3 linked regions of the Coturnix japonica genome follow. The protein of the gene in region 1 purifies or fractionates together with the protein of each later gene. This does not show direct contact. Links are inferred from orthologs where the notes say so. Each region holds a gene or a part of one and is shown in the gene's direction. Other genes may lie near its edges. The genes, in order: KMT2C, PAXIP1 and NCOA6.

The links.
Region 2: the proteins of KMT2C (region 1) and PAXIP1 purify together in Homo sapiens (affinity purification with mass spectrometry; 4 studies listed by BioGRID and IntAct, with this or other methods). This does not show direct contact. The link is inferred for Coturnix japonica from reciprocal best matches to the Homo sapiens genes KMT2C and PAXIP1.
Region 3: the proteins of KMT2C (region 1) and NCOA6 purify together in Homo sapiens (co-immunoprecipitation; 7 studies listed by BioGRID and IntAct, with this or other methods). This does not show direct contact. The link is inferred for Coturnix japonica from reciprocal best matches to the Homo sapiens genes KMT2C and NCOA6.

Annotation. Positions count from the first base shown.
Region 1 is NC_029517.1:5,829,243-5,832,894, reverse strand, and holds part of KMT2C (histone-lysine N-methyltransferase 2C), read left to right. Parts: coding exon 1-606; intron 607-1,062; coding exon 1,063-1,275; intron 1,276-1,798; coding exon 1,799-1,963; intron 1,964-3,183; coding exon 3,184-3,325; intron 3,326-3,652. UniProt on the Homo sapiens protein: Histone methyltransferase that catalyzes methyl group transfer from S-adenosyl-L-methionine to the epsilon-amino group of 'Lys-4' of histone H3 (H3K4).
Region 2 is NC_029517.1:6,828,325-6,831,976, reverse strand, and holds part of PAXIP1 (PAX-interacting protein 1), read left to right. Parts: intron 1-230; coding exon 231-365; intron 366-2,019; coding exon 2,020-2,063; intron 2,064-3,652.
Region 3 is NC_029535.1:442,377-446,028, forward strand, and holds part of NCOA6 (nuclear receptor coactivator 6), read left to right. Parts: intron 1-965; coding exon 966-1,087; intron 1,088-1,812; coding exon 1,813-3,652. UniProt on the Homo sapiens protein: Nuclear receptor coactivator that directly binds nuclear receptors and stimulates the transcriptional activities in a hormone-dependent fashion. Coactivates expression in an agonist- and AF2-dependent manner.

The DNA of each region.
Region 1 (3,652 bases):
GAGTCAATAAAAGCCCCATCGACTCCCCATTCGGATATAACTGCACCGTCAACTCCAACCATTTCTGATTCTACCTCTACCCCCACCGTTAACACCCCTAGTGAACTGCCTCGTCATCAAGATGAGCAAGAGTCAGTGGAGGTAACAGGTCCATCAACATCTAATGCAGCAGAGAGCCAGGCTTCTCCAGAGCTGGAGTGTCAGCTCCCCAGCAGCAGCTTGCCACCAAAACAGCCAAATGTGAGCACAGAGACTGACAAGGCCAAACCAGACACACCTGCTGGCATTCAAGAAGTTAAACTAGAAAAGGCAGAATCCGATCAGTGCTCAGATCAGACTGAGCCGAAAACAGAAAATCAAAGCACTGTTAAGGTGGAAGAAGATAAAGTCTCATCTCAGCCTCCCTCTTCAGCTCAGAGTCCAGCACAGCCAGCCAGCGTTCCAGCAGCCAAAGGGGAGTCAGGGAACGAGTTGCTCAAGCACCTGCTTAAAAACAAAAAGTCCTCATCTCTTCTGAACCAGAAATCAGAGAGTGGCTGTCGAACAGAAGAAGAGGCTGCTGGAGAGAAGAAGCTAACGGACAAGCAGAGTCAGGCTGAAGGAATGGTGAGCCTCTCCCTGCTTTCGTTCTGCAGTGGTTACCAGCTCTCAAAGGCTGGTTTTTGTCTCTGCTTATTTTTAATTGAAGGAGGCATGAATTCTTCGTGTTAATGGCATTATATGGGTTAATAATTTATAAGACTTTTTAAAACAACTTGAAAAATTGCTTTCTATGGAGGTAGTATACACTTGAGACTTAGTATACTTCAATTATTTTATTATAGTCTCTAGTGTCTACACTGTTGTCCTATTAGTCTCCCAACTCTAAACACATCCTTGAAATCAGGTGTAAATACATTCAAAATAAATGAAAACTGATAAACGTAACTGTGAGCAGCAGGTAACTTAGGTAAATGTATGACAGGAGTAGCTGTGAGCATCCTTGTGTCAGGGCTTGTGCAGAATGGACTGTCTATTATAATATAGTCAAAAAATCTGCTTCATTTCCTTTTTTACGGCCAGCAAACTGCAGGAAACCAGCTGCAAGGTGCATTCAGGTGTAGTAACAGCCAACTTCAGAGAGCAGATGTGGGACACGAAACCAAGAAACAGAGAAATAAACGAACTCAGAGGACAGGAGAAAAGGCAGCTCCTCGGTCCAAGAAAAGGAAAAAAGAGGAGGAAGAAAAACAGGCCATATACCCCAATGCTGATACGTTCATCCATCTCAAACAAGTACGTACACAACACGACACTGGGTAGCTCATCAAGGGGATGCTTTAAAAGAATGGGTTTCTTATTGTGAAAACCAAATGGATAATGGTGTTGAATTCTGAGTACAGGGTGTAGCTGTAACTTCTATAGAAGCAGAAAGTGTAAAGGCTTGGATTTATTTCAGTTTGGAAGATCTACTGACGTGGCATGCGTTCAGCAGGCTCAAAACCATGGAATTCCTGCCTGCTTTGGTTGCTGCTGTTGCTGAGCTGCCACAGAGCTGGGAGCAGTGGCTCCCCTGGGCTGAGGACCGTCTGACCGGGGGGTTAGAACTAGATGGTCCTTAAAGTCATTTCCAACCTAAAGTGATCTATGAATCTTTGATGCCTGAAAAAGGAGAGGGGCCTGAGTTTGTGATGGTTGTCTGATAGTGGGTAAACTCCCTTTAAAAACAGCAGTAGAAACTACTAACAGCTGAGTGTCTGTGATTATTCAATTTTATAGTTAGACTAATTTCTACCTTTTTTCTTTACTTTCAATGTAGCAGCTTTCTCTCCTACCTTTGATGGAACCAATAATTGGAGTGAGCTTTGCACACTTTCTTCCCTATGGCAGTGGCCAGCTAAATGCTGGAAATCGACTTGTAGGAAGTTTTGGTAGCGCTACCCTTGATGGGGCTTCAGATTACTACTCCCAGCTCATATACAAGGTACAGCTTCAATCTGGATTTCCTCTGTGGGCTCCTTGAGAGAAAAGTTCATTACATCATTGCTGCGAGTTGGTTTAGATTTGTGCCCTTTGCAAGCAGAAGAGAACCATCTTCTGTTGTTAGATTAGATAGGCCGATCAGTGTTAAAGCAGACATTGTTTCACTGTTGTGAAAGTTGAAATCAGTTCTAGAAACTGTTGTAAATGGGTTAAAATGTGCAAGTGTTCCACTTACGAGTGGATGCTAAAGAATGAAAATTGTAATTACACTTTTATGGAGCAGAAAAGGCTGAATTCCCAGTACTTTGCAAAGTCATTGAAAACACTTAAGTATTTCTTAATGTGAATCAAATGGGAAATAGACTTTTCTCATTTGTCTGCTAAGCTTGAACTAAAAGCTCTGAGGAAAAAAAAAAGATGTTTGTTGATGAGCAAATAATCCACAGAATTTAAGACTCAGCCTCTGAGATCAGGATGGCAATGGTGGGACAGCAGCAAGAGAGCAGACAGGGAATCAAGTCTGGTACTTGGTGTTTATTCCAGCCTGAGAATGGATACTCTAGGCTGAGAATGGGACCTGGCAGATATTACCATAGCTGTGGATAATGCTTTCTAGCTTTGTATGCATGACTGCAATGAGAGAAGATACTGAAATTTATACTTAATTTTGGTTTAAAGTATGGTCAATTAAGTAAACTAATGAGAAACAGCGACGAGTGTGAACTTGCAGAGTGAGGTTCTCCATGGTAACTACTTCAGCAAAAGCTTGTCCTGTGCTAATGTGAGGCAGCTTCCCTTTTAGTGGAAAATGGGTAACTCCTTTATTGTGATGGAGAGCCCCTTTAGAACTGCTCTCTGTCTTTAGATCAGATCTTTGCTTAAACTGTAGGAACTTATTGAGGCTCCCAAAAAGTCCATAAAAATGTTCTTCGTGCCTTTATGTAAATAATTCAGCTTTACCTTCTCTATCAGGAAAATTTACTTCTCGCGTAAACTTTATTTCTCCTGTAGTATCTTTGATAGTAAGAAAATGTTGTGTCTCTTCTAGCAGGAAGTTATTCCACATATTTAGTTGCGTATTTGAGAACTGACTGTCACTGTTTATCAGTGGTACCTCTGGATGTTAAAATAAGGGAGTGGGTTACAATATCTACTAGTAGAACATGGCAAGTTTTCACACTGTGCTTCATAGCTAACTTGCTGTTCTTCTCTCTCCTGCAGCAGAACAATCTGAGCAATCCTCCAACACCACCGGCCTCTCTTCCACCCACACCACCTCCTGTGGCCTGCCAGAAGTTGGTAAATGGCTTTGCAACCACTGAAGAGCTTGCTGGCAAGGCTGGTATGTTGGGAGGCCACGATGGTAAGGCTAATGCATATTGTTTGCCTTATAGCTGGGTCAACTTTGTAGCAAACTACATAATGGATAACTGTGATGTTTCTTGGATCCTATAGTTCACTGTTATACAGGCATTATGTCCAGGCTCTTTTTAAGCTTGTAATCACTATCACCCAGTTTTGTTTTATACCAGCGTAATGTCAAGTGATAAGCTTATTCTTTCCCTTTTGAAAAGACGTTGGGATCTAGAAGCACTCCTAAGAAATGAATAAGTTCAGAATCCACTTTGTGATGTCCACTACAAATTTGTTGTCTTTTTTTGGTTTTGTTTTTTTTTTTTGTAAAGCGATG
Region 2 (3,652 bases), about 1.0 Mb from region 1:
CAACTTGAATCATCAAAATGCAGCAGAGTTGCAAACCTTGGGAAATCAGGATTTAAATGGGTTGTGCTTGCCAAAAAAACAACACCAGAGTACTATCCATTTATACAGGGCAACCAAGAGAGAAGGTTGAACTCATTCCCTTGATGTGCTGCAGTTCTTTTCTTACTGTTCTTTTCCATTGAAAGGTAATAATAATTTTTCACTTCTTCCCCCTTCTCTTTTGGGTTTAGGTTATTCAACTTCTGAAAGCTGGGAAAGCAAAGGAAGTCTCTTACAATGCCCTGGCCTCACATATTATTTCAGAAGACGGAGACCATCCAGAGGTTGGAGAATCTCGTGAAGTTTTTGATCTCCCTGTGGTAAAGGTGGGTGACTCCTCCACTATATTGTTTGACACAGTTACTGGGTTATGGTGACAGAAAATACCAGTGTTTAGATGGTGTCTGAATGAAACACACCTTTGCATTTCTTTTATTCTCATTTCATGATCTTTGTTTCCCCCCTGAACTGTAGACTTTTACAGTTCTGTTTTCTCCTTTCCTACTGTTATTCTGTATCTGGTGATCTGTTAATGAGTTTTCTTTTGTGTGTGTGTGTGTCCCTTTCTGAAATTCCTCATTCATCTGTGGGATGCTGCGTTCTTTAAGTAACTTTGTTACTCTCTTGCAGTTTGGGTTCATTTTTCCTGCTAAAGCTTCCAGGCTTCATGTTTAAAAATATGAGTCTGTTGTTCTGCAATTCATGAGCAATGAGGAAAGAAAACCCATTATTATTTCTCTGCCAGTACTTTCAGGTGCATAAGTTTGGTTTATTCTTTCTATGTGGCTGCAGGCAACAGTACTTAGTTTTGATGACTTAAAGCATGAGAGTTCACCTGGCAGTGGAGAAGTATGAATTCACAGACTCAAAAAATTGAGGGTGCTTAGCATGAGGCCTTATGGTTCTAGATGGGAGCTTAGTTCTTGTTTTTAATTTATCTCATTCATGAAGTGTTTTGTGACATCATTTCAGTCTTGAGATACAAGAAGGCTGCAACCATTCTTATGGGATGGAATGGCATTTTCTTCACTAGGAGAGTGGTTAGGCCCTGGAACAGGCTGCCCAGGGAGGTTGTGGATGCCCCGTCCTTGGAGGTGTTCAAGACCAGGTTGGACGGGGCCCTGGGCAACCTGATCTAGTAAAGGTGTATGTTTGGTGGCCCTGCCAGGCAGGGGTGTTGGAACTACATGATCCTTGAGGTCCCTTCCAACCCGAGTCATTCTGTGATCATTGTCCTAGCAGTGCTTCTTGCTATTGGCTGCCTTTCACTTAAATAATTCAGTGTTCTTTTTAAGCACTACTGACTAAACTTTCTGCCGTTTGCAGCAGGCCTTTCAGTGATGTTGCGATGCTTCTAGGTCCAACTAAGCAACATGTTCTGTAGTTGAGAAGATTAGACTTAGTGTTAAGGGAATGAGGCTTGGAGGCAAAGGTAGAAAAGGGATGGAGAATGAGGAAGGGAAAAAAATTAAGAGAAAACTCCCAATTTTTATTTATTTTTTTGCAAACAGTGGAATTAAAAAAGTACAAAACTTCTGCCTTTTGCTAAATGAGAGATAATAGCATGAATAAGGCATAAAAAGTTACTGTGTGTGTGTGTGTGTGTGTATACTGGGGCAGAGGAAAGTGTGGGGAGGTAAAAAAGTCATGTTAAATAGGATGGTACTCCTTCCTTCTTCTCCCCTATAGATTGTATCAGGACCACTGTCCTACACAGCCTCTATTCTCTATTTCCTTCTCTCTCTTTGAGCCATTCTGTTGCTGCATACCAATGGTTAGGGTCTGTCACCTGTGTGCTTAGCAGCCTGTATTACTATGTGTATATAAACCCCTTTCTGTGTAAGGATCTGTGAAACACTCAGACTTTAAAGCTGAGAGATGGATATTGAAACCAGATACGCTGTGAAGTTGGTCACTAACTTGCATTTTACTCACACAGTATGAGTTTGGTTTTTTTATCTCATGGTTTTTGTCTTTCAGCCTTCCTGGGTGATCCTGTCTGTTCGCTGTGGAGCTCTCCTTCCGTATCCTTTAAGTTAAAATTGGATGGAATATTATAGGAAACATCTTAAAATAGATTGCACTGCATGAATGAAGATTGTTACATGTATGTATGTCTTACATTTTTGTAATAATAGGATATATTTTGCTTGTTAAGATCGTAGTGTGTTTAGAGCTTCTTTGTCTTGCTTTACTTTCCCTCTCCCTTTGGCTATTTTGGATAAGCACTTAATAATCAATTGTAGGAAGTTTGTTATCAAATAGCTCAAACGTTTTAGCTTGATGTTGGTCATTAACTGAGGATCTGGGAGAGATGCTGGAATGCCGTAAGGGGCCAGTTGTTGGGTCTGTGGAATGGCCTATTTTTATGGCCTTTTCAAGAGCCAAAGTTAAGTAAGAAATAAACATGCAGTACATCCATACTCTTAGAAATAGTGCTTTGTTAACTCATAATGGTAACACTGCTGTTATTGTGTAGCTTGACTGTGTCATTTGCAGACTGCTGTGGTTTATGTGGGCTGGATTTATTTTTCTCAACTCATTTGGAGCACGTATTCTTGCACGTGGATGGTGTATTCTGTTTTATTATTTATTACTGTTTCATTATTTGTTTCCCTCAGTTTTTCTTTGGATCCTAGGAATGACGGCAATGGCTGCTTATGCATGAATATCATCCTGTAATATGTTTTTTTTCACAGCCCATTCATAACAGGCATTATATTTATGCAAAAGCTGAAGCAGGGCAGCGCATTTCAGTGCAGATACCAGCAGATGATTGCGGTGAACAGCAGGACTAGGGAGGAAGGCTGTCAGGCATGAGATCTCATTTTGGAAGGATAGCAGGTGGTAGTGTTGATAATGGAAAACAAGAGGTGGTAGAAGCCGGAGTCCAGGTGTTCATATTAGGAATTTCAGGTCTTAATGTGATACAGAATTCAGTGATACAGAATTCAAATGTTATATCTCGTATTTCAAAACAGATGCCCTTGCATCTATCTGTGTGTCTGAGATGTTTGCGTATTCTCAATCAGGAGAATTCAACTCAGGGAGTGAGCTGTAGAAAGAAAAGAGAATTAAAGAAATGATATATTGAGGTACTTAATGCTGCTTTGATCATCATAATGAACATGTCAAATAGAATTCGTGAGTTATCATTAAACATATGCTGTAGTCCTGGACTATCTTCTGACCTAGGGAGAGTTTTCCTTTAATGACTTCATTTCGAAAGGTAAACGATGCACCAAACATGACATGGCAAAACCCCAAATACTTTTATATTCAAACTATAAATCACTTGCTGTTATGTGATCTAGGCTGATATGTTGGGTTTTGTTTTGTTATTTTTGTACCAGAAATATTTTGTTTTTCAGCCTATTGTTATCAGGAAGGGAGTTTATGTCACACCAATGTAATATGTAGGGCTGGCTGGAAGAAAGAAAGTATGAAATAAGTTGGAATTAGTTTTACTTTAAAGATTGCGTAATCAGGCATTATAGTGCTGGTGTTCTCTCTCATAGAGAAGCTGCACTATTAGACAATAGGTTTTCTATCTGAAACCGTATGTTTTCAAAAGGATGCTTTTAAGTGCTGATTTTATTACCAACCCAGAAGA
Region 3 (3,652 bases), on another chromosome or scaffold:
GAGCACTGAATGGTTAATAGGACGCTGGGACAGGCCTGGGTTTCTTGCTGCCAGCTGTCCATATACCAGAAGCTGGCTGTTACTGTCAAGTAAACCTTTATATAATTCAGATTCTTGTTTTGTTGAGAATTTCTTTTTCCTCGTCATTTCTATAGAACTCTGCCTCTCCTTGCAGGCAGTGGACTTGTTTTCATGTCTTTAGTTTAAATGGAGAGCTGTTATTACATATATCTCCATACAGCCTCAGTATATTCATGAAACCATTAAGCCGTTAAGGTCTTTTGCTCTTCATTCTTCTTCATCTTAACATCCTCTGACCACAGGTTAGCTGTGAAAGCATGCTTGTAAAAAGCTTACTGTTGTGATGCAGTGGAAGCATTAGCTGTTGAATTTTGGAAATTTTAACATGTCCCCCAGGGTCTCCTGGAGCAAGGTCTGCATCCCACAGAGCTGTGTGCTCTGGTGGATGGCTTTGAACGCCTGATGTGCCAATACGTTGGTGCTGTGACAGGGATAGAGATCTGATACCCTAAGCTGGGCTCCCCTGGGAGCATGGTGCTGTCTCTGAAGTTCGCTGGATATACACACGATACTTATGTGTACAGACAGCACAGCAGTATTTGAGAAAAGCCTATTTAGATCCACCAGGAGAGCTATTTGTATATAAATTTGAAATATCTGTTGGCATTCTCTTATAAAACTCAGATTCAAGAAGAAACAAAGGAAGGAAACAAACGCTTCAGGTGAGTAAAGCACCAGGCAACTTGTCTTTTCAGGAGTAGTATTTAAGGCCCAGAAGTGACTATCGGTAGTCCTGGGCTGTGTTTGCATCTGCTGTACATGAGGCAGCGATCTGTTTCCATGAGTTACTTGCGGGTCAGCCAGAAGTGCTACAATGGTTGTGGAAGTGGAATCCATACACTGATGTTGCGGCTGTATGTAAACAGCAATTATTTTTCTTTCAGCTCTTCAGAACCGCGTTCAGGCAGCCTGGAGGAGAGCGATCAGTCATCAGCATCTGGAGATCAAGGAATCAACTTAGACAATTCAGGCCCTAAACTTTCAGACTTTGGAAGCAGGCCGCCAGGTGAGTGTTAAATGTTGTCACTACAGTAAAGCTTTTACTGATCTTTGTGGCAGTACTTTTTTGCACGTTTATGACCAAGTTTTTTGGTTTTTTTTCTCCTTGTGAATAATTGATTCCTCTATTTGTGCTCTTTGAATTAGCTCTAAATGAATAGACAGTTGCATCCTCATGTATCACCCAACTGCAGGTATCATGTTGAATACTGTAGAATTACTTAGCAATGTTACATTTTATAGATGTCTGCACTTCTAGCAGTAGCACAGTCTGGTGTCTTGAAAACTGACCAGTAGTCAGTAGTTCTCAGGTTTTTCAGAACCCTTCCAGTTTTTGTCTATCAGTCTTTTAGGTTTGTTTTGAGGGTGATTAATCTGTGAAAGTTTAACTCTGAATTTGAAAGTGGCAGCAAGCCTGTGGAATGGTGTAGAGACTTTTTGAGGTGTTGTGAAGCCAGGGTAGTAGCTGGTTGCTGGTATGGCCTTCCATTCAGTGTCACACAGGTCATTTATAATTCTTAACAATACTTTAAGTGAAATCCTTTTTTTATAATATATATGATATATGTAATATATAAAAACCCTTGTTTATAAAGCCTGTTCAGTTAATGTGGCTGTTACAGAGGATAAACTGGCTATCCTACCTACCGCTTCTATCTGATGCCATTCATTACATAAATTCTGCTTTCTCTGATTTTTGTTCTTGATCAGAATGTCACTGTGTCCTCTTAGGTTATCCTTCTCAGCCGGTGGAACAAAGACCACTTCAGCAGATGCCACCTCAACTCATGCCACACACACAGCAGCCACAGCAGCTGCAACAGCAGCCACAGCTGCCATCACAGCAAGCTCAGGCACCACCACAAACACCGCAGCAACAGCAGCAGATGATGATGATGCTTATGATGCAGCAGGATTCCAAATCAGTCAGGCTTCCTGTACCACAAGGAGTTCATCCACCTCGAGGGCCTCTGAATCCAGATGCACAACGAATGCCCATGCAGCAGAGCGGTAACATGCCAGTAATGGTCAATCTACAAGGCCCTGGATCTGTGCCTCTGTCTCCTGATAAACAGAGGATTTCCTTGCCAGGCAATCCTTCTCTGGGAGGTAATGCAAGAAAAATGGTTTATCAAGATAATGTACAGAATCCTTCCAGCTCACCTCTGGGAGAGGTTTCATCCGTATCTTCCCTTCCAGAAGGAGGTGGAACGGAAGGCCCCACAGCATCAGGAGCTCAGAATAATTTGACATCTCATTTAGTAGTTTCACAGAACCAATTAATGATGACGGGAGCTAAACCTGGACCATCCCCGCTTTCAACCACCCCAGGCGCAAGTCCTCAGCAGCAATCTAATTCTCTGCCTGGATCTCTTGCACACCATTTTCCTAACGTTGCTACCCCATCACAAACATCAAGGCCTAAAACCCCAAACAGAGCAAGCCCAAGGCCATACTATCCTCAGACTCCTAATAACCGCCCACCTAGCACAGAACCCTCAGAAATAAGCCTGTCTCCAGAGAGACTCAATGCTTCTATAGCTGGTCTTTTCCCTCCCCAAATTAATATTCCTTTACCTCCCAGACCTAATCTCAGTAGAGGATTTGATCAGCAGGGTCTTAATCCTACTACTTTGAAGGCTATTGGACAAGCCCCATCAAATCTCACAATTAACAATCAGTCCAGTTTTGCTTCTCCACAGTCACACAAATTGGAAAGTGTTGTTGTTAATTCAGGAAAGCAAACCAATGCTGGAGGAACAAAGAGAGCAAGTCCAAGCAATAGTCGAAGGTCCAGTCCTGGATCCAGCAGGAAAACAACACCAAGTCCTGGTAGACAGAATTCAAAAGCAGCAAAATTATCGTTGACTACTCCACAGAATCCATCTCTCTTGCAGAATGTAGATATGCAGAGGAATATAATGGTTGGTCCTGCTTCCTTGCCAACACCTGTTACTACAAGTTTTCAGAATAATAACATGCTAAGTAATCAGAGTCCAGCAGTTTCTGCACCTGCTATGACTGGCCTTCCTGAAGACAATAAGGAGAGCCTCAGTGTTCCTCAAGATAATGAATGTCAAAGTGCACAAACTGTCCAGGGTAACAAAGACCAGCCCAGCATTGAACTGAAAGGTGTCCCAACTCCAGAAATAAAAATGCTGGTTCCAGGGGAGCAGTCAAAAAAGGATGGGCAGGCCTTAGACACGGGTAAGCTTCCAGCTTTGGAGGAAAGTAAAACCATGGTATCTCCGGCTATGAGGGAAGCACCAACTTCTTTAAGTCAACTTCTTGATAATTCTGGAGCTCCTAATGTAACCATTAAGCCCCCAGGACTGACTGGTCTTGAAATGGCACCAGTAGTCACCACTGTGGAAGAGATAAAAAAGGTAGCTGTCATTCCTCCACTGCAAGATGCATCCTCTAGCAAAGAGCCATCTAATTCACTTAGTTTGCCTCAAAGTAATGAACCCTGTTCAAATCCAGGACTTCAGGAACCGGGAGAAATAAACTCAAATGTTACGCAGAGTGTTACTCCAGTAATGCAAAGGCCTGTCAGTTCTTCTATTTCAAC